Linked DNA regions of Lepisosteus oculatus. The protein of the gene in region 2 interacts with the protein of the main gene of each other region in a biochemical or structural test. Links are inferred from orthologs where the notes say so. Each region holds a gene or a part of one and is shown on either strand. Other genes may lie near its edges. The genes, in order: rab5c and eea1.

Evidence for each region.
Region 1: the proteins of eea1 (region 2) and rab5c form a complex in vitro, tested with the Homo sapiens proteins (2 studies listed by BioGRID and IntAct, with this or other methods). The link is inferred for Lepisosteus oculatus from reciprocal best matches to the Homo sapiens genes EEA1 and RAB5C.

What each region holds. Positions count from the first base shown.
Region 1 is NC_090723.1:5,230,373-5,240,057, forward strand, and holds the start of rab5c (ras-related protein Rab-5C), read left to right. Parts: upstream 1-5,769; 5' UTR 5,770-5,950; intron 5,951-9,685. UniProt on the Homo sapiens protein: The small GTPases Rab are key regulators of intracellular membrane trafficking, from the formation of transport vesicles to their fusion with membranes.
Region 2 is NC_090702.1:52,256,897-52,267,146, forward strand, and holds the start of eea1 (early endosome antigen 1), read right to left. Parts: upstream 4,818-10,250; 5' UTR 4,693-4,817; coding exon 4,669-4,692; intron 1-4,668. UniProt on the Homo sapiens protein: Binds phospholipid vesicles containing phosphatidylinositol 3-phosphate and participates in endosomal trafficking.

The DNA.
Region 1 (9,685 bases), on a different chromosome or scaffold from region 2:
CTGGGCTGGGGGGATTCCTGCAGGTGTGTCTACCTGGACAGCTGTGTGTGTCTTTAAAAACGAAATGGGGTTCGCTATGCAGGATCATCGTTCTGGTTCGTCTACAATTATTTAGTTCTTTCAGTCTGGATGATGTGTTGTCATGATGTCTTTCATCCTATTATGTGTAGAGCAGTGGGAGAGAAAGCTTTCTAAATGACCATGTGAGCAGGGTGCTGGGGTGTAGGATGTCGCAGTGCAGTTCAGTGCGCTGCAGAAGTAAGTTAGTTGGCTGGCCGTCGAGAGAGCAGAACAAACTCAATTGTCTGCTCTGAAATGGTTATTTTCAAGGGCTTTTTATAATCCAAATACAGCTCCACTGAACCTTTTCTGTTGGCATAAATGCCACGTCTAAGACATAACCTACTGTACATTTAAACACAACAGAAAGCAAGAGGCTATACTATGATATAGGAAGGTTTTAAACCCCCACCCAGAATGCTTATTCTGATGCCCAGATGTCCAAGAACGTCAAACCCTTTCAGTCTGCTAAACTTGTCACTGCGTGATTCAGACAACAGGTATACTGCCTTTATAACATAAGGAAACTATGCCTAAATTAATTCTGCAAGGTGCATTAAAAGTAGCACCACAACGGCAGGCAGCTTCTGTACTACATTTCTAAAACCCTGCAGTTGCGTAAGATTTTTCTACCTTTTGCAGCAGCAGTTTATAAACTGAAGCATCCTGCTGCGCACGTCCCCTGGGGGCTGTGTTTTTAGCTGCAGATGACACAGATCATCCATTTCGGCCGATCTCGGCGAGAGAAAGGAGCAGCTGACACAGGGAGCTCTGCAGTCCCCCAGGGCAGGCATGCTCTGATTGGAAGTGGAGGAGCAGAGTGTGGGCAGGTGAGCGCTGTGCTTACACAATCACCTGCCTTTCTTTGGTTTCCTGCTGCTGTTGCAAAAATTTTTTGGGCACTGCAGGATCTCAGATGTTCTGTCTTATAAAATTATCTGGGTGCGATTTGTCTAAAGAGTTCAAATTAGTATGTGTAGTTAAGACTTGCAGATTGTGTTTTGTTACCTGACTGATAAATTACAGTACATGTCTTAGGTATACTTCATATACTAACAGAACTGTAGGGTTTGACGTTGGCTGCTAATTAGGATATAATTACAGTGACATGCTAAGATCTCTAAAGGAACAAACACTCCAGGCTGATTTGTCTTCTGATTTTGCTCAGGTACAGTGCATCCTTTAGAACCTCACCTACCAACAGTAAAGGGGATCAGTGAGAAGGAGGTCAGCTTGGACGATCTCTGCCTGTCCCACCCTCCCTTACATGCACCTCAGCTCCAAAAGTCTCATCATTTCCCCCTGAACTCCTGCAATGGAGGAGACACCACTCTAAAATGCTGTGTGCTGTGCATTGTGGTGTGTTTTGCTTTCCTTAGATGGATGTTGAGCAGAGTCTTGAGGGAGTCCATGTGGCTAATGAAGCTCAGCCTTCCAGCGAAGTGTCGGCCCCCCGCCCCTGTTCCCACCCCCTGCGCCGCACCAGTCTGACATGGCCAATTAGCCAACAAGGGAGCACCTGAGCACATGACGACACCACCACACTCACAGGCACAGGCTTCCCTCTGGGGACCTCGCTGCCACAGCACAGACTTGCACGTAGCATGACCTCGCCACAGCACAGACCAATGGGACTGAGCTTGCGAATAACCGGAAGAGCCAGAAAAGAAGAGCTGGAGTAAGTGAGGTCTCGGTAGACCAGAGATTTAGGGAGGCCTCCCCAGTGGCTCAGCTCTTAAAGGCACTCACCAGAATCACAGGTTGAACTCTCTGATCATGCGTTTAAGCCTGGGTCATGTCACTGGCGTATTACTGACTGAGCACCACCAAGAGTAGGGTGGGTATAGTTGGCCAGGGCTCTCAGCATCACAGCGCCCCCTGCAGGCTACTGGCCACTTGCAGGCCTGCAATGCTTTAGATGAGGGACATCTCTGGCCTGCAATAAAACCATGGGACCTGGTCTGTCTGGTATGATACCTTATGAAGCACCAAAAAAAACCCCACATAAACTGAAGCAGTTTTGTATTCAATCTCTCCCACATCTCATCCCGAGAGGCGGAAGAGAAGATCATACCTCAAAACATTTGAGAAGCCCAATTCTGCAGTAATGGTAAAAAATGTTTTTTGTTACACAGCAAATTACCAATGCATGGAACAGATTAGACAAACCAGGTTGTGGAGGTGGATATGCAGGGATCTTTGAAAATTTATCTTAATGTGGCAGTTGAATAACACACTGTACAGGCAAATGATAAGCGCTGGTGTGTTGAGCTCACTGTTCTGCTCCAGGTTTGCTTACACCCATCTTAAAGTTTTTTTGGGGCTATGCTGGACTACAACAACACTATGACTTGCGATAATACACATTCACACGCAGTGACCACCTTGGGTGAATCATAGCTGTGTTGCAGTATTTGTAATGAATTTATGTTTTGTCGTAAAACAAATAAAGAAAAACAGAGGTAAGTGTACAGGTTGCAGAATTACCAAGCAAACCTGTCTTGGTTGTATCACACTGTTGTGCGTGCTAATTCTCAAAAGTGAGATGAGTGGAGATTTGTGTTACATAGAACTCTCCATATGCTACAAGCTGCATAGAAACAAATCAACAGGAATAATTGCTGGGATGCAGTTGTCTATGATCAATTCTTAAAATCATTACAACGACGTGGAAAGAGTTTTTCATTTTAAAGGAAAAAGGAGCTGCTTTCTGAGATTCTGCGGACAGAATTTGCATGCTTGAGGTGAACAGGACACTCGGTTGGCATGTGCTTACTGGCTAAAGCCCAGATTACAAAAGAACATAATGTTGTATTACCAGGTGTGTAGTAAATCGTGGAGCAGGTTAGCTTTCTCTTGCACACACTGGCTGTGATAAATGGGCTGCTCAACACCATCCGGCATATCCTGGAGCTGCCCCTAATGATTCCCTGGCTGACAATCTGTACAGAACATGAGGCACAGTCCCTAGGTGAACACTGCCCTCTAATGCACCACTGCCACATAACTCAGGCCTCAGCCGAGACCAAAGCCTTTCTGCCCCATTCTGATGAATGCATTAACTGCCTGTAAAGGATTTAAACACACATGCTATATTTTTTAATGCAGGTATAGAATTTCTTTGCTGATGTATCATGGTGGGCCTGGCTCATGGTATTTGTTTTAATTTTTCGCTGTTTAATTTTTTCCAGTATGAAGGCCAGGCAGAATCCATACTTGTCTTTGTCCAGCTACACACACAATAACATTGTAATCTTCCTCACCCGCATGGCCCTTCACACCCCTAGCTGGGAGGGCAGGCAGTGTCATGTTTGCTACCTTTTCATCCCCAGAAACCCTCTGAAAATGTCCCTGATCGTACAGACTCATGCAGCATTTACATGTGGTCTAATACTCCTCAGATCAAGAGGGGTCAGCGACCTTGGTTCTTGAAAAACCATAGTCCTGCAGGACTAACAAGCTTCTGCAGAATTAGTGCAGAATTGAAACACTTTAACTGGTACTAATTTGGCACTTTAACTGGTACTAATTGCTCAACTGTTGACACACAATACTATCTTTGTTAAATTCATTTTCTCTTCCCAGTTTCTTCCTATCGTTCAGCTTTAGTAAAAATGTACAAAAACGGTTTTTAAACCGACAAAAACCGACTGAGGTTAGTAATGGGAGCACGCCATCTGCTGTTCAATAAGGGGAACACAGCCTTGCAGAGACCTGCTGTGGTGTTACGAAGCCGGGACATATTAACCGTTGATCAGATAAAATGTATTGTCCCCTAGGGGTGACTTTTTGGGGACACGCAGTGCTTACGTCTGAATTCATCACAAAACATTACACATCACGTCGATTTACATCTAACATTACACAAACTATTACAGCATAGTCATGACATATTGTAAATACTAAAGTCTGTTACAGCCTAATCGGTTTATACTCACTGTCTAATAGATAAGGGAAAAAATGAATATTTGTATCTATTCGATCTGCATTTGCCAGAGGGAAGAAGCTGATATTCAGAATTAAGAATGTGAAAAAGATCCAATTTATTTATTTTTTAATCCACCTGTTTATGGGTGGAGCGGTGGCTCTGTGGTTAAGGATCTGCGCCTCTGGCTGGAAGGTTGCCAGTTCAAATCCTGTGGCCGGCAGAGGAATCCCACTCCGTTGGGCCCCTGAGCAAGGCCCTTAACCCCAGCTGCTCCGGGGGCGCTGTATAAATGAGCTTCTCTCTCTGTCTGTGTATCTGTGTGTCTCGTGGAGAGCAAGCTGGGGTCTGCGAAAAGACAAATTCCTAATGCAAGAAATCGTACGTGGCTAATAAAGTGATCTTATCTTAATCCTTTTAAAAAAAAATACTGCAAGGAGGAGGGCTGCCTCACTCCCGAAACTCTCACTGAACACTGGTGGTGGTGGAGGGGATCCCCATTACGTGTAAAGAGCTCTGAGTGGAGTGCCCAGAAAAGCGCTATATAAGTGTAAGCAATTATTATTATTATGACATGTTTTATGTGAAAGTATTTGCCAACACTGAGATCTTCTACAGTATCATTATTCGGGAGTCTGGCAAGAAGCCATACCATGACAAGCCTGCTCCAGCCTCACAACTTAAGGATTTACTGAAACCAACACAGTCTTAAAATTCGTCTTTTTTTTGACGAGCCCAGTCCTGTTTCAAAATTGTAACATTCTGAAATCCCAGAATTTCATTAGATTCATGTTACGTTTTGCAACTGACATCTTTAATTAGACCTAAAAACAGAGTTTCACAGAGGTACCAAAGAGGTACTTTTAAGTGACTCTGAAAAAGACCACCAACATCAAAAAGGCTCTTGGTCTACTGGCCTGCCAGTTCCACTTTTGACGTTTTATCACAGAAGTATTGTGATAGTAAAAATTCCCATTTTACCTCGCCGGCGGTTGTAGTACCACCTTGTGGTCTGGCTTTGTCAGATCTTGGAGTTGAAGCAGAGAAAGGAAACCCAGGCTCCTGCCGGGGCAGGTGTCGTTCGCGGACCAGTAGGTGGAGCTCTTCCCTCTGGACCGGAATTTAAAGAAACAAGCATCCCTACAGGGGGTGATTTTTTCCTTAGAAAACGCAATACACTAAGGTTTGGAGGAGTAATTCAACTTAGGCCTGATTATTGCATCAATATAGATCCCACAGGTGGTTTTCGGGAGTGTAAAGACATCAAAGCCACTGCCTCCGTTAAAATTGCACTCTTATCTTGAGCAGGCCTGCTTGATGTTGTTTCTTAATTCAATTACTGCAGCATTTTCTCACTCCCCCACCTGATCTGCTGCGCAGAGGGGCTGCCGCGCTTCACGTAGGTGGGAGCTGCTCTTCAACAATGAATAAAGTGAGCACCCTCCTACGTTAAGCGTTGTGCAACGCAGGAAATTATAAATGGGTAAATAATGATATAACGTCGACTTCAGCTTGACTGTAGACTTAAAAAGAGGTTATTTGTTAAATGGTTGTGTTGGAAAAGGTTGCTCGAAACCAGAAAAAGTTTAAAACGTCTTTGTCGCAATAAAAGCTTACGTCCACACCAAAACCGCCCTTTAAACCCTTCCGAACTACATTTCCCAGCGGCATCGCGCCAGAAATACGATGATGTAATCCCCGGTCCTAAGCCTGTTCTGGAACGCATACGCTCATTGGTCATTTTGTCTTTCAGTCCCACCCCCCCTCCCATCAGGAAGTAGGTGGATCCTGGAAGTGGGGATCGCAAGGCGGAAGTGAAGGCCGGAGCCTGTGATGAAGAATCGCAGAGCAGAGCTGCGAAATTGAAACAGAGAAGAAAATTCATAGCTTAAAAATTTATTCCGATAGAAGAACCGGAGTACGGAAAACCTAAGAGGGTCTTGCGCTCGGGTGCTGTCTAAAATCGTGAGTTACACCTTGTTGCGTCTCTTGCGTTTGCCGTTTCAAGCCGAGCTGTCCCCAGTATTCAGCTGCCCGTCCGGGCTCTGTTGCAGATTTATCCGCTGGTCTGTGATAAGGGGTTCCTGACTGTGTTGTGTCATAAAATATGCTTGAAGATGAATCGTTTTATTTTCTGTTTTCGTTTCACATGTCCGTTGCGCGGTGAGGCTGCTGTCTCCCTCTCGGCAGGCTGGTAGGTGTGAGTGGGTTGGGGGGGGGGTTGTCTTGTGAGATAATATCGCTAAATAACGTTCAGAGCTATTGCTAAACCCCATTGAAGACAGTTCTGGGGCCGAAATTTCTACTTCTTGTATTAGGGAGTTATCTACATACCGCTATTCTCACCTCTTAAAAAAAATGTGCCCGTGTTAAATCTGTACAGGGGCAAAATAATATCTAGAAAACGTATTAAACCCCTCGATTGTTCCTGACGTGTAATAGGAGTCATACGGTCATTGTACAGCCGCAGAGGTTAGTAGCTCATAGTTCCTCATTTAAAAACTAAAACCAAAATATTCTCCCGTGTTTCGCTCCGTACACGGTAGCAGGTACAATAACTACGCTTGCTGTCTTCAAATGTCTCAGAAGAGGTTTAAATTTAATTTTTAGGTGTTACCCCCCCAATGCTGCGAGTCTTTTTTTTTTCAGGCAGACAAGAACAAATTAATTAATAAACAGAAAGTGACCTTTTATTCCCTGGGAGTTGCTGGTTTCCCGTGGTCCCGGCATGTTGAGTGCGCACAAACAGCGATGTAAATCAATAACTCGGGATCATATGAGAAAGTTGCTGAACTTTTGCTTTATGATTCATTGGCTTACGAAACCTTTGCACGAGTTCTATTCCCAGAACCTGTTTCTTTTCTCGGCGCTTATAGCTGTATTGTCACTAGGAGACAGGGCCTCTTGCTACAAGTTTAGAAAATTTAAATTTGTCAGGTCGACAAGCCCTACAATGTGACTGGATCAATGCTTAAGTGCCATATTTCCAATAATATTTCCAAAGGACTGATTATTCCTGCTCTGCTTTCTTATAAGTGCTGTAATGAAGACCTTAAAAAGCACTGGGTGTAGAAGAGAGTTTGGAACACACATGCACAGCGAGCGTTTGTCCGAAACGAGAATTTCTAACACAGATTCAACCCAGCAGTGTTTTCTACAACAGTGACACAAGCCAGAAGCACAAGTGAAAACGACATGAAAGTGCATTTAAAACTGAGAACAGGAGGCATGTCTTTAACCAAAGTGTTGTGGGAGTGTGGAACAAGCTACCCAGACATGTTGTTGAAGTCTGTACCCTGGTTTCTTTCAAGAAATGACACCCTTGGATTAGTTACCCACTAGCTACTAATGCCCTCCTCTCATTTGAATCAGTGAATCTTTGTCTGCTATGGTGCCCTTTGTATGGTTTGCCAAAGGGAGCCTTTCAGAATTATACAGCAGCTGACGTTGTACTGCAGAAGCAGACCTCATGGGCAAAGAGGAAAGGGTTAAATAGATGCCCCTCCTCCCACTTTGTGATATTTATGGACCAGAAATTAGCTCATGGTGTATTCTGAAGAATCATGGACAATCTCGTTAATGTCAAGGGTGCAGATGAGGCTAGTTGCAATGATATGACAATGTAATGTTATCACATAACATTGTCAGCATCATTTGCCAGCAGTGATCACATCCTTACACAATATTTTACTGCTGCTTGACACCCACAAGCATGGTTAGTGTCCCCCCAGAATGTGCATGTGGTCTGTTCCTGTAAGAGCCTGCTTTCGTTCAGGTGTAGTTTAATGCTTTTGAACTGCTAGATCCATTCCAGCACAAGACATCGAGCAGCCAGCTCTTTCAGTGTAGAGTGGTCTGTTCCTCTTAGGAGCTGGTTTGCAATGAGCGGGTTCAGAGTGAGAAAGGTTTGGGCAGACTCCGTTATGTTCATGGTCTCTCTTCTCCTGGCTGCAGGCAAATCCCCACTCTAGCTGTTTTTTGAAAGTGTCTGTTGTTACAAGATGAAATGCCTTTTGTCAGGATGATCAGTGATTTGATCATTTCCCTACAGTTTGTGTTGTGGTCGAACGTTTTTAAATCAAGTGCAAAAGCAACCATTTCTGCCGTTCAAGAAGGCCAGTTTTCTTTCTGACATGACTCGCTGCATCATAGAATGTGACCTCAAGACCCTAAATAGAGACTCAGCTGATTCTGAAGCCTTTTAGAAAGATCTATGATAGTGCATAGAAAATAAGTGGCAACAAAGAGCTGATCAGTTGGACTGATCCATCCAGGTGTCAGTTGGAGTGGACTGTTGCATATGTTTTAATAGTTTATTTTGATCATTTCAACCTGATTTTTAATATAGATGTTTGTTGTTTTATACCACAGTGTGAATGTGGTTAAATGTAATCGGAAGTGACTGGGTGTGAAATAACCTGTTTCTCACAGTCCTACTGGGCTGTGTTGCTAATTGTCTCTGGCAAACGCAGACATGCCAAGCTGGATTAGGAAAACATCATGCTGCATCAGATCTGGGCATCTGAAACGGGTTCCAGGGCCCCTGTCCTTTTTATCTTTTCTACCAGCAGCACTTGAAATCATCCTGTATAATTCATTAATTCAGGAATTTCAGCAAAGAGTATGACTTTGGTAAATAAGGGAGATGCAAGGCTTAGGGATGATGAAGATGTTAAGAGCAAAGTAGAACTAGTCCAACTAAGCAATGCAGACGTTTTGCCCAGTGTGAAGTTATTTAATATGATTTAAAATGACGGGGGTTATGATCTCGAGGCTGCCTTCTGCATTAGGAAAAACATCAAGGCTCCTTGGCTTGTCCTTATATGCCACAACCTGAGAGCCAGCTTATCTCGACTGTGTGTCTAACAGTGTGACAGGCCCAAACCACTATATTTGGATCAACTGGTTGGCTGTCAGATCTGAAGGAATGGCTGAGGCTGTTGAGTCACTCGTGACGCAGAACAGAAGACTTCCTTTATGTGTAGCTAATATGTCGGTTTCTAAAGGAATTGGCGCAGATCTGCTTCTGAATTCCCCTGTGCAGGGCCTGACTCAGGTTTTAACTGGTGTAGAGATACCTCCTAGGAATTTGCTGCACTTGCAAGTACGTTGTAGAAACCGGATTTTTGACTTGTTGTGTGATTGCTGGGAAGCCTCCTGGATTTGGGAACTGAAGTCTTGACATTCATCAGATTATTCCATATTTGTGAGCTGTTTCCTTTTAACGTGCCTGTGAGGTTTTTTTTTCTAGTCTGGTGACGCATGAGCATTAAGTTTTGTTTAATGTAGACAAGAGCAGGGCTTTACATGCAGGTAGCTAAACCGTAAACTATAAATACAAAATTGGAAAGGCTAAATGTGAACAAGACTTGGATGTTTAAGACAAAGTGAGGATAAATAGTTAAAATTGCGGAGATTTTATATTAAAATGATATAACATGTCAGTAAGGCCTCATTTAGTATCTTATGTACAGTCTTGTTCACTGCAATACAGGTAAGAGGTTGCTGCTCTGGAATCAGTGGGATTCATTTCAAGGCCTAAGGGAATGCCCTATACTGACAGGCCAAAGGAACTGGATCTTTATTTTTAACAGAAAAGACTTCTACAGGCAACCTTATCAAAGTCTACCTAGTGCACTCCTTCAGGATGGACAGTGAAACATGAAACAAGTGGTAACTGTGTAGAAGTGTGTATACAAC
Region 2 (10,250 bases):
GTTATTAAAACAGTGCCTGTCATCCTGCCTGGAGCGAGAGACTGGATGAACAGCAGTGATGACAGGCAGGCATACAGCAGGGACTGTGCTTCTCCATACTGCTAGACCTAGAGTTAATTAATGAGAGGGAGCTGGACAGGAGGGAATAAAATCCTGGCTGGCAAATGATAAGAATTATCTAATTAAACAGTGATACAATCATCCAAATTTTCATCTTCTTGGAATATATCTGGGGCAAAAGTGACAGCAGAGCTGCTCCAGTTTTTAAGAGTTTCCATGAAAGATGTTACTCAAGAAATGTATCTGACCTTTTTTGTCTTTGTTGTTTGTTTGCTTCTCCAACTTACCTTGATAATTCCAGCATAAACATTTTCTAGAGCCCCATTCACTCTTGTTTTATGAGGCAGCCTTTTCTCAAACGTAGCACACATCCCCAATCTGAAAAGGCAGCCCTTCCTGACCTAAATGCATGCCAGCTTTCTAATGCATCCCAGGGCCAGCAACTGCAGATCCAGCACTGGTGTAAAGTATTGTATATGTCAACTCACAGTCAGTCTTGAGCCACATTTGAATATCACATCACCGGTGACAATATCAGTAACAGGCCCCTCACACATTCACCACCAACAACAAATGGAAATCTGATCAGAAGCCAAGATTATCCTTAAACCTGGACCACACATTCACTCTCCTCTCAATGATAGACTTGTTTCTCTTCAAACGCCTCTTGATTTCATGCCTCTCCCTCTTACACATTCCAGTTTTTCACACCTCACCTAGATCACCCTTCGTTTGGACAGGCTGCCAATTTGCCAGCAGCCCTATCACCCTGCAGCCCACAATTGGCAGCCCACTGGAGCTCAGCAGGTATGAGCCTGGCCAGTACCTGGATGGGAGACCTCCTTGGAAAAACTAAGGTTGCTACTGGAAGAGGTATTAAGAGGAGCCAGTAGGGGGTGCTCACCCTGCAATCTGTGGCCCCAGTATAGTGATGGGGACACTATACTGTAACAAGTGACGTCCTTCAGATGAGATGTAAAACCGAGGTCCATACTCTCTGTGGTCATTAAAAACCCCAGGATGTTTCTTGAAAAGTGTAGGGATTCCCGCCTGCTATACGAGTGGTTAATTTATCAACAGTGTGAATACATAAACATGCATTTTACCACATTTGACAGGTGAGTGGGTCACAGAGAAAGTCATAATCTAATTTATGTGTACGGCTTCCACAATTTATAGTAAACCCGATTAATTACCTGTACACACAGAGGATAATACCGAGCCTTAACAAAGCGACTCAAGACACAGCTCTGGTGACAAAGTAATAAATCAGGTTCAGACTTGACAGGACAGACATTAACAATAAAATAACACAACTAAACGACAATTTACAAAACTATACAAATGTGTACAATCTGTATATTCCTGAGTCGCGCTTCCTGTAGGCTAAGAAACCCCAAATTCGGTTCTTGTAATCTACAGTATTACCACAGTAAGTACAACCACAGTATCTTAAACAGGACAGACAGAGAAACAACCTGAGAAACCTAAGGAAAATGTTTCTGTGTCAGAACTAAATCTGCCTTCCTGTAACACTGAGTCCCAAAGGAAAACAGAAATTAATTTTCCTATTCCAGAAACGCATCACCAAACTAGGGGAGTATGTCGCAAGTCCAAGGATTCCACAACGCAGGAAATCGTAATTTCCTAAAATAAACATGACGGCAGGCTCTCTATAATAATGTTCAGATTACATAGCCAGAATCTGGTCTCCAAGAGGGATCAGAACAAGGTCCTCGTGCATGACTCAAGCCTGGAGGAAGAAAGGGAGGATAAAGAAAAATGATCTTCTCTTTCTTTGTTTTCCCCTGGACTGCGCCTACCCTGTGTCCTGTCTTCCCCGTGTTTATATTGTGGTCTCTACCTCTGGAGGACAGCTCAAGACCTCCCTAGTCCCTCTTGAATGGGCATTCTTACTTATAACGTAGATAATTAGAGTCAATCATCAGAAACAAAATTTGATCACCTGAGTCTCACCTTGTGTGAAGCTGCTATTAACCCACAGATAGCTAGGCAAACAATGCAAATCAATATGCTTTGTTCTAAACGTTCTGAATAGTTCAGATCTTTGTGAGAAATGCAAACATAGCTAAGCTTTGCTCACCACCATCATTAGATTACTTAGATCGTTGAAGCTGCAAAACATATTGTCCACTCAGAAGGCTGCTCGCCATGTAAAATGTCTTTGACACTTCCATACATTGTTAGACAGCAGACCTATGCAATAATGCAACAGTAAAATATATTTAGCCTGCCATGTGACTCATTTTAAACATGTGTTTAAAATGCATGAAGCAGGAACAGATGTACGTTCATTCAAGCTGGCAGAATGCAGTTTATTATTGGGGATGGTTTGAATCCCCAGATAAAAACATCTAAGCAGATACCCATCATCTTATCTGGGTCTTAAAAGATCTTATGATGAAAAGACTGACATCTGTTTTAAGTGATAGTCATGCATCAAATACATCACAGTTAACCTTGAAACCTGGGAAAACATGTTAATGACAGATTTTGAGTACTGCATAGTACAAACAACGATACAGGGGTATGACGGGTATGAAATTCCAGTCTTATTTAGGCTTCTGTACAGTTGCTGTCACTTCTTTCCAACACATGACTACCATTCAGCATTTAGGTGTTTAAGTCACACTCAAATTGCTAATAAACTACTGTCCACCAATTTAGCCCAGCTTTTCAGTCACTGGTATGTAGATAACGTGCTGCCTTAAATCTTAAGAGTCAAAGGTAGGGAAAACAAAAAAAAAATACTGCCCTACATTTCAGTCCTCCGAGGAGTGACCTAATAAGTGTGAAAGGGTGTAAAATTTAATGGTAATAAAATGATATGCTAGCAGCTATATCACCCGGCAACTCACAACTGGCAGCCCACTGAAGCTCAGCAGGTGTGAGCCTGGTCAGTACCTGGATGGGAGACCTCCTGGGAGAAACTAAGGTTGCTGCTGGAAGAGGCAATAGTAGGACCAGCAGGGGGCGCTCACCCTGTGGTCTGTGTGGGTCCTAATGCCCCAGTATAGTGACGGTGACACTATACTGTATAAAAAAAATAAAAAAAAAAAGGACCCAACTTCAGATGAGACATAAAGGTGAGGTCGTGACTCTCTGTGGTCCCAGGGTGTTTTTTTAAATGAAGAGGGGTATAATCTACTAATGGTGTCATTATAGTATTCTTATACTACTCGACATGCCACTATAACTTAGCACATTCCACTGTGGACATACACTATATCAGTTAATGGGGGCATGGCATGACTAGAACAAGCGGAGTTTAATTCCATGCTGAAAAGTAAGATAAGTGGAGAGGAAAGCTTAATTGGATCATTTTGCCACTCCTGCAATCCAAGTGTAATAAAGGCTACCATCACGATCATGGATTCCTGGTCATGGCCACGTAAGGGTTGCATTTTGACATTACGCTGTGAAACGTAACAAGAAGGACGTTTAACTTCACAACTCTTCGTTGCACGTCGATAGATCATTAGACGTCATCCTTCTGGCTCGTACTGGAAGCCTAGGTTGAGATGCAAGGTCCTGCCAAATTAAAACTGGCCACCTTCACATAGCGATAACAGTGCAGCAAATACAACACCAGGCACAAAATGGAGCAGACTCAGGCACATCTGTGATTGGCATCTCGAGTTTTATTTTCGCCCAGGTAGGGCAGGACTAACTCAGAGATTCAGTAGTCTAATTATTTCAACACATCTCTAGCAATTGCTTTACAATCGGTAAGATCACCATTTCTGACGAGCGTTTGGTTTGAATACAAGGCTTCGCTTGTGTACAAATACAAAAGAGTCTGACATGATGGTACCAAGCCATCACTACAACATCATCAACAGTGCTGTAAAAATGATACGAATGCCAAGTTTTTTTTTCCGGACAATAACTGTATTTCATCATTAAAAATACTAAGCGTACCGAAAGAAAAAAAAACAGTAGAATGGATGTGTGCAACTGATGACCTAAACGCTTCACAATGTAATGCATTAAAACCGCTTCCAGGAGCGAAGGCTGCTCAGTCCAGTTAAAATAAATGACAGTACCCATGACTGGAGGGCACAGCCCGTGCACACGGCTGATAAAATAAAGCACCGGGAGCTCGCTTCAGACGTACACTTTTATACGTCGAAATCAGAAGGAAATCAGAACTAAAAAAAAAGGAGACATCGTCGGCACAGCCAATCGCACGGCACGCCATGCGAATAAAGCGGAACGCCCACACTAACTTGGTGATTTCTGTGCGAGTCCAATTCAATAGTCCGGATCAGCCAAGCCTGACACTATAGGTCCAGGGTCTGTACCGCTGCAAACAGCAGCCTGGGCGCCGCTCCCCGCAGCTTCGACTGAAGGGCTGAATTCGACATCAAACGCCAAAAGCTACAAGTGATCGTTGTCGTTTGATACATTAATCAGCGGCAGTCCACTGACAAACAGGAGGCCTACTCGCACGGCCTACACACACACATAGAGAGAGAGAGGAAGGACAGGCCTTGCTTTTGCAGGGCATGGACAGCTAATTCAATCACAGAGAAAACAAGACGCACCGCACCAGCACGCCCGCAGTTCCGCCAGCGCCGAGCTTACCCGCTGCAGTATTCGTCTGAACATGGTGCAGACCGGTGCCCCTTTTGTTTCCGAAAATAAAACCTAAAACGAAACGAAAAACTTTATTCCTTATTACGTTTCCCAGAAGCACCTGACCAAGCCCGCTTGCTGACAGCCCTGCAATTCGGAGCACAAGGGTGGGGGCGGTGCTACGGGGAGGGGGGTGGGGCTCATGTGCAAAGGGGGCGGGGCGTCGCTCGGTTGAACAGAACGGAGAAGGGAAGAACACGGAATGATTGGCAGGCCGTCCTGCATTTTCATTGGTAAGCCCGGAGCCGAGAGAGGCGGGCCTTCTTTCTAGACTGCTCTGTGAAAGGAATACGGGAAGTGAGTGGAATGGTTCACGGGATGGTAATGTCATGTATTTTTTTTTGAAAAAATAAAAAAAAAATCAGTCAGAAAAGAAGCAGCCCTTTATAAAATTTTTAATTGCCCGTTTCTGCTTTGGTTGTGCTGTGGGTTAAAGGAGGATTAATTATAAAATCTGATTATAAGAGAGTGAAATAAAGAATTGTAAGAATACTCATGTTTTTATGCCATTAAGATTATGTTTCCAATCAGTGGTGTATCTAAGGAAATGAATCACAAGGCCTCTTATTACCAGAACGGTATTGTAATATAATGGCATGACCATCTTAAATATGGCAAAAGGAAATAAGTGAAAACTACTCAATTAAAAAGAACAGAGTAGAGAAAGGAAGTTCTTTACCCCAAGGACGCTGTATATAGTGATAAAGAAAAAGCACAAAAAGAGTAAAAGAAAAAAAAATGAAACAAAAGCATGTGGTATAGAATGTAGGGCAATCAGACACAGGCCCTTGTCAAAAGGTGAGTTTTTAGTTTAGATGTGAAGAGAGTCAAAGAATTTGCCTCTCGAAGAAGAGGTGGAAGGGAGATCCATAACAGTGGGGTGACAGAAAAGGCACGGCCACCAACAGCCCCACAGTTTCAATTCCAGGTACAATGAGCAGAGGACCAGCCTCAACGGGTGGGAGTGTATACATGATACGTGAAGGAATTCAGAAATTGTCATGGAGCCAGATTATTCAGAGCCTTACAAATCAGTAACAAGATCTTATATTGAATATGTGACCTAACAGGCAACCAATGTAGAAACGTAAGTGTAGGAGTGATATGCTGCCAAGATCTGCTGCAATTTGCACTAGTCATTTGTACTATCATTAACCTTTATGAGAGTTGGTGGTGACTTTACTATACTATTTTTGTACTTTTACTGCGGGGTTACTTCACAATTGTTGCGTCTTAAGAACAAAGAAAAAGAGGCCCTCCAACTCATCCTGCCCTTTTGGTTGTTAGCCACCAACTGATCCGGACGTCTCGTCTGGCTGTTTTGTCTCGTGCATTCCTGTACAGGAGGAGTGAAATACGGTGCATGCTACAGTACCATCATAAACTGTACAGTTGTTTTGTAACTTCTGTTGTTCCACATCAAGGAATTACTGTGGTGTAATGCAAGTGCAAGCACAGTAAAGACATGTTAATAGCATAATAATAATAATAATAATAATAATAATAATAATTAATAATTGCTTACACTTGTATAGCACTTTTCTGGACACTCCACTCAAAGCGCTTTACAGGTAATGGGGATCCCCCTCGATGGATAGGATAGGAAACCATTGGCAAAAGAATGGTAGAAACCACAGTTTAAGCACAGTATTATTGCCCATCCATACAAAACACCCATTTTCAAACTGCTTTATCCAATACAAGGTTGGCCTATCCTGGCAAGCAAAAGCACACAAGGCAAGGTCCACCCTGGGCACGCTGCGGTTGTCTGAAAGCTGTTTAATGGATCAAAGTCATTGTTTTAAATCAAAGCATATTTTTCTTTTAAAAATATGATATTATATCATATATACAATATATATTATATATGATAATTTATATTATAGTAGTTCAGGTGGGTAGCTGCGTCAGCCGAAGAAGGCTTCACAGCTGAAACGTTGTGTTTTCTCTCTTCTCTTTTCAGCATGGAATAAACCTATTACTTGTTCCATTATATATTATATATGATATTAAAAAATAAAATATTCTTAGTCTGGCTTTTTAAAGTCAGTTTTTTCCAAACATAGCCCTCTAATTTTGCTATCTTTTAGTGTTCCATCTTAAGTTCTTAACGACAGGTTTATTGATTTCCATTGTCTCTTTGGAAACACACCTTATTTCAGTAGGGTGGCCTGTTCATTGTAGGAAGATTTGACACAGTGTTATTCCCACCCGTGTCTGTTCATCATAAGGAAATAAATCAACTTTATGAATAAAAACATTATTATTATAAATGGACTTATATTGCATCACTTGTCATGAGACTCTTTTTCGTGTCTTGTCTTTTCATGTTTTCTTCTCCCACTTTCCCAGTGCTAAATGACTTCTTCTTTGTTGTAAAACACAAATATACTTTATTCAGCTCTTCATTTCACACGGTGAGAAAACTATCATCATTGGATGATTCCTAGGCCGTGGAAATCAAGGATAAGTGGAAACTTTGTCTGTCCCGAGATGTGCCATTTTGGGAATTGCCCAAACAGGACTCTTACATCACAGCAGAACAATGATCTCTGTTTTTCTGTGTTCAAAATGAAAAACATCTGGTTTTCCAAGCTGCTTCTGTGAAGCTAGCCTTTTAAATGTCCTGTTGGCCTGCGTCAAGATGGAGAACAGACCGGACCAGGCAAATGAGTGCTTTCCATGATAAATATTCCCCTGGTAGGAGACAACTGATGCAGTCCTTGCTTAACCAATAAGAAATCTGAGATCTTATATCACATTAACAGCTGGGTGAGAGCCCAGGTGTACATTTTAACCACTGTAAATAAAAGAAAGAAAAACTCTGAAGAAAAGAGCATGAATGCACACATGCTGTGGGTTATGAAATTAAATCTCATTAATAGATGGAGATTGTTAAACAGTGTCATTACCATTAAATCAATAGGGACCAACACGTTCCTGAATTATATATTGATCTCTGCATATTCTTGCTTTCTAAATTTCTGTTTATTTTATTGCCTGAAAGAATCGACTTATAGCAGCCCCAAATTTTAGGTGTCTTTGGTTGCTGCCAGCAACCAAACATGAAATCAAAACAAGGATAACTTTTTTTAAACTTAGGGACTCAGAAGTCGGATAATGGTGGCTTTAGAGAAGCTGATGATACTCGTTTCTATTAATAATGTTATATGATACTCCTGTATACAGATGATGTTATTTGTGTTTTTGCTATTGATCATTCACTAAAAATACCCCAGTGCTTCACGCTGTACTGCCATACAAGTCATTTTCAAAGGTGGGTATTTCGGCAGGAAGCAGTTCCATCAGGATCCACTAGAGGGGCCCATCCATCTATCCATTCACAGCTGCTGACGCTTGGTAGGGGGTCACAGGGCACAAACAAGCACAAGCACAGGGGGAGAGTTTTTAGAGAAATGCCAACTACCTAACCAACATGTATTTGGAAGTTAGGAGGAAGTTATTAGGAACACCAATCCTTTGCAGGGCACACACAGACACAAGACACACACACACTCACACTAGAAGTCAATTAACCTCCCAGTATGTCTTTGGACTGTGGGAGGAAACTGGAGGAGCTGGAGGAAACCCACATGAACACAGAGAAAACATGCAAACTCCCCGCAGATAGGACCCCAAATCTGAAACTGAACACAGGATCTCAGCACTGGGGAGCAGTAAGGCCAACCACTGTTTGTAATTCGGCTTAATCATAAGCCAAAGAGTTTTAGTACATGTTCTATTGAAATGATTCTTGTACCTATCATCTAACTGGATAAGATATACAGGGCGTTGTTTAGCTTAACTGCTGGGTTTTCCAAAAGCACACCAAACATTACAAACCTAAAATCAATTAAAATATCCCAGATAACTAAAGCATGTTAGTACGTCTCCAGGCATCACATAGGAGGTGTCCATGTGAAACATTTTAAAAGCTATTTATTTCAATAAACATATAATAAGAATACAATTTAAAATACAGGAAATACATTGGAAGGCTGTAAAGTATTTACAGTAACTGTATTATGATCAACTAGTTATTGCTACAAGATACTACTAATAATTGCTTGTAATTGCTTTTAATACTGAATTGCATACTTTATATAAATCTTTCTTTAACATATTATGATGAAAGTAGCACATCTGAAATATATTTAAAGTAACTAATACTATATGCTATGTTACACTATTAATAAACACCTGCTTTGCTTATCTAAATGTATGCTTGTATGTCCTTTCTCAGGTAACCAAATTTAGATGCTCCATTGTTGTGTAATCCATTACAATTTGTGCACCAGAGAGTAATGTATCTCACTGTGCTGGTCACTAATTAACATTTGATCAAATCATGTCGTACAGTCCAATGTTTGCAATGTTCCGGTGTCGGCAAAATAATTAGTGTCTCTGAACCAATACTTAGTGTTATGGGGGTCAAAACAGGAACTTTTCACATTCTTTTACAAGTTAAGGGAATCAGAGAGCCAGACATTTTCCTGTTCACTGTAGTGCTGTAATTAAGGTAAAAGTATAATACCTTGTATAGAAAGCTGATGCATCACAGATTATACTCCCTCAGCACTGCTGGTAACAATATACTGTATATATACAGCTGGAGAAATCAAGGGTGGGTACCTTGTTAAAAATATACCAGTAGTTTGGCACTTGATTGACCCTCTAGCAGTGTATCCAGAGGCCTGGCTACAAGCAACCAATATGGATGCATCATCAGTGACAGCAGTAATGTGGACAAAGACATAAGTCCAGTCATATCCTTCAATACAGTGCAATATAACACACTCCCTGATAATCACCTTGTTGGATGACTGAGCTAAGGGAAAAATTGTCAGGAACCTTTTCCTGTTATAGATTGCCATCGTGTCTGTGAAGGAGGGTGTGGAGACAATCCTGTGTCAACCCAAGGGTTGTGCCAAGGTGTGTGTGAGGATCAATATCTCAATTGGTGGCCATTAGCTAATGTTCATATGTACACTCAGGGTACAGCCTCATGATCAATTACTATTCATCCACAAGCAGTCATTGCATAAGGGCAGTGGTGTTTACTTTTCATGCAGTCAGAAGGACAGAGATAAAACAGACAAATCAAAGGTAACAAAACAGGTTAAAAGAGGCAAAGGACTCCTGCTACCTAAAACCACCCTAGAACTACATAAGGACAATTGCTCAGTGCTCTGATTTGTAGTACCTTAAGCGCTTTGAGAAGCCATCTTTAAAGGCGCAAAATAAAAGAAAGTTTATTATTATTATATTACCTTACCCAGATGAATAACTCACTTTCTAGGTTATGAGACAGCGTGAAATCTCAGTTTGCATTCCTTTCTTTATGAATCGAGAGCAGTGTTTTAATAACTTCTTGTTTGTGAGCAAATTATGTTTCTAAATCCTTTCTTCCTTTTCCTGAAGTGCCCAGTTCTGTTGTTCTTCCTAAATCCGATTGTATTTCCTAATTCTACCCTGAATTTCAAACATGCATTGTTTTCCCAGGAAGTGCACTTCCCTTCAAGCCGTGAGAA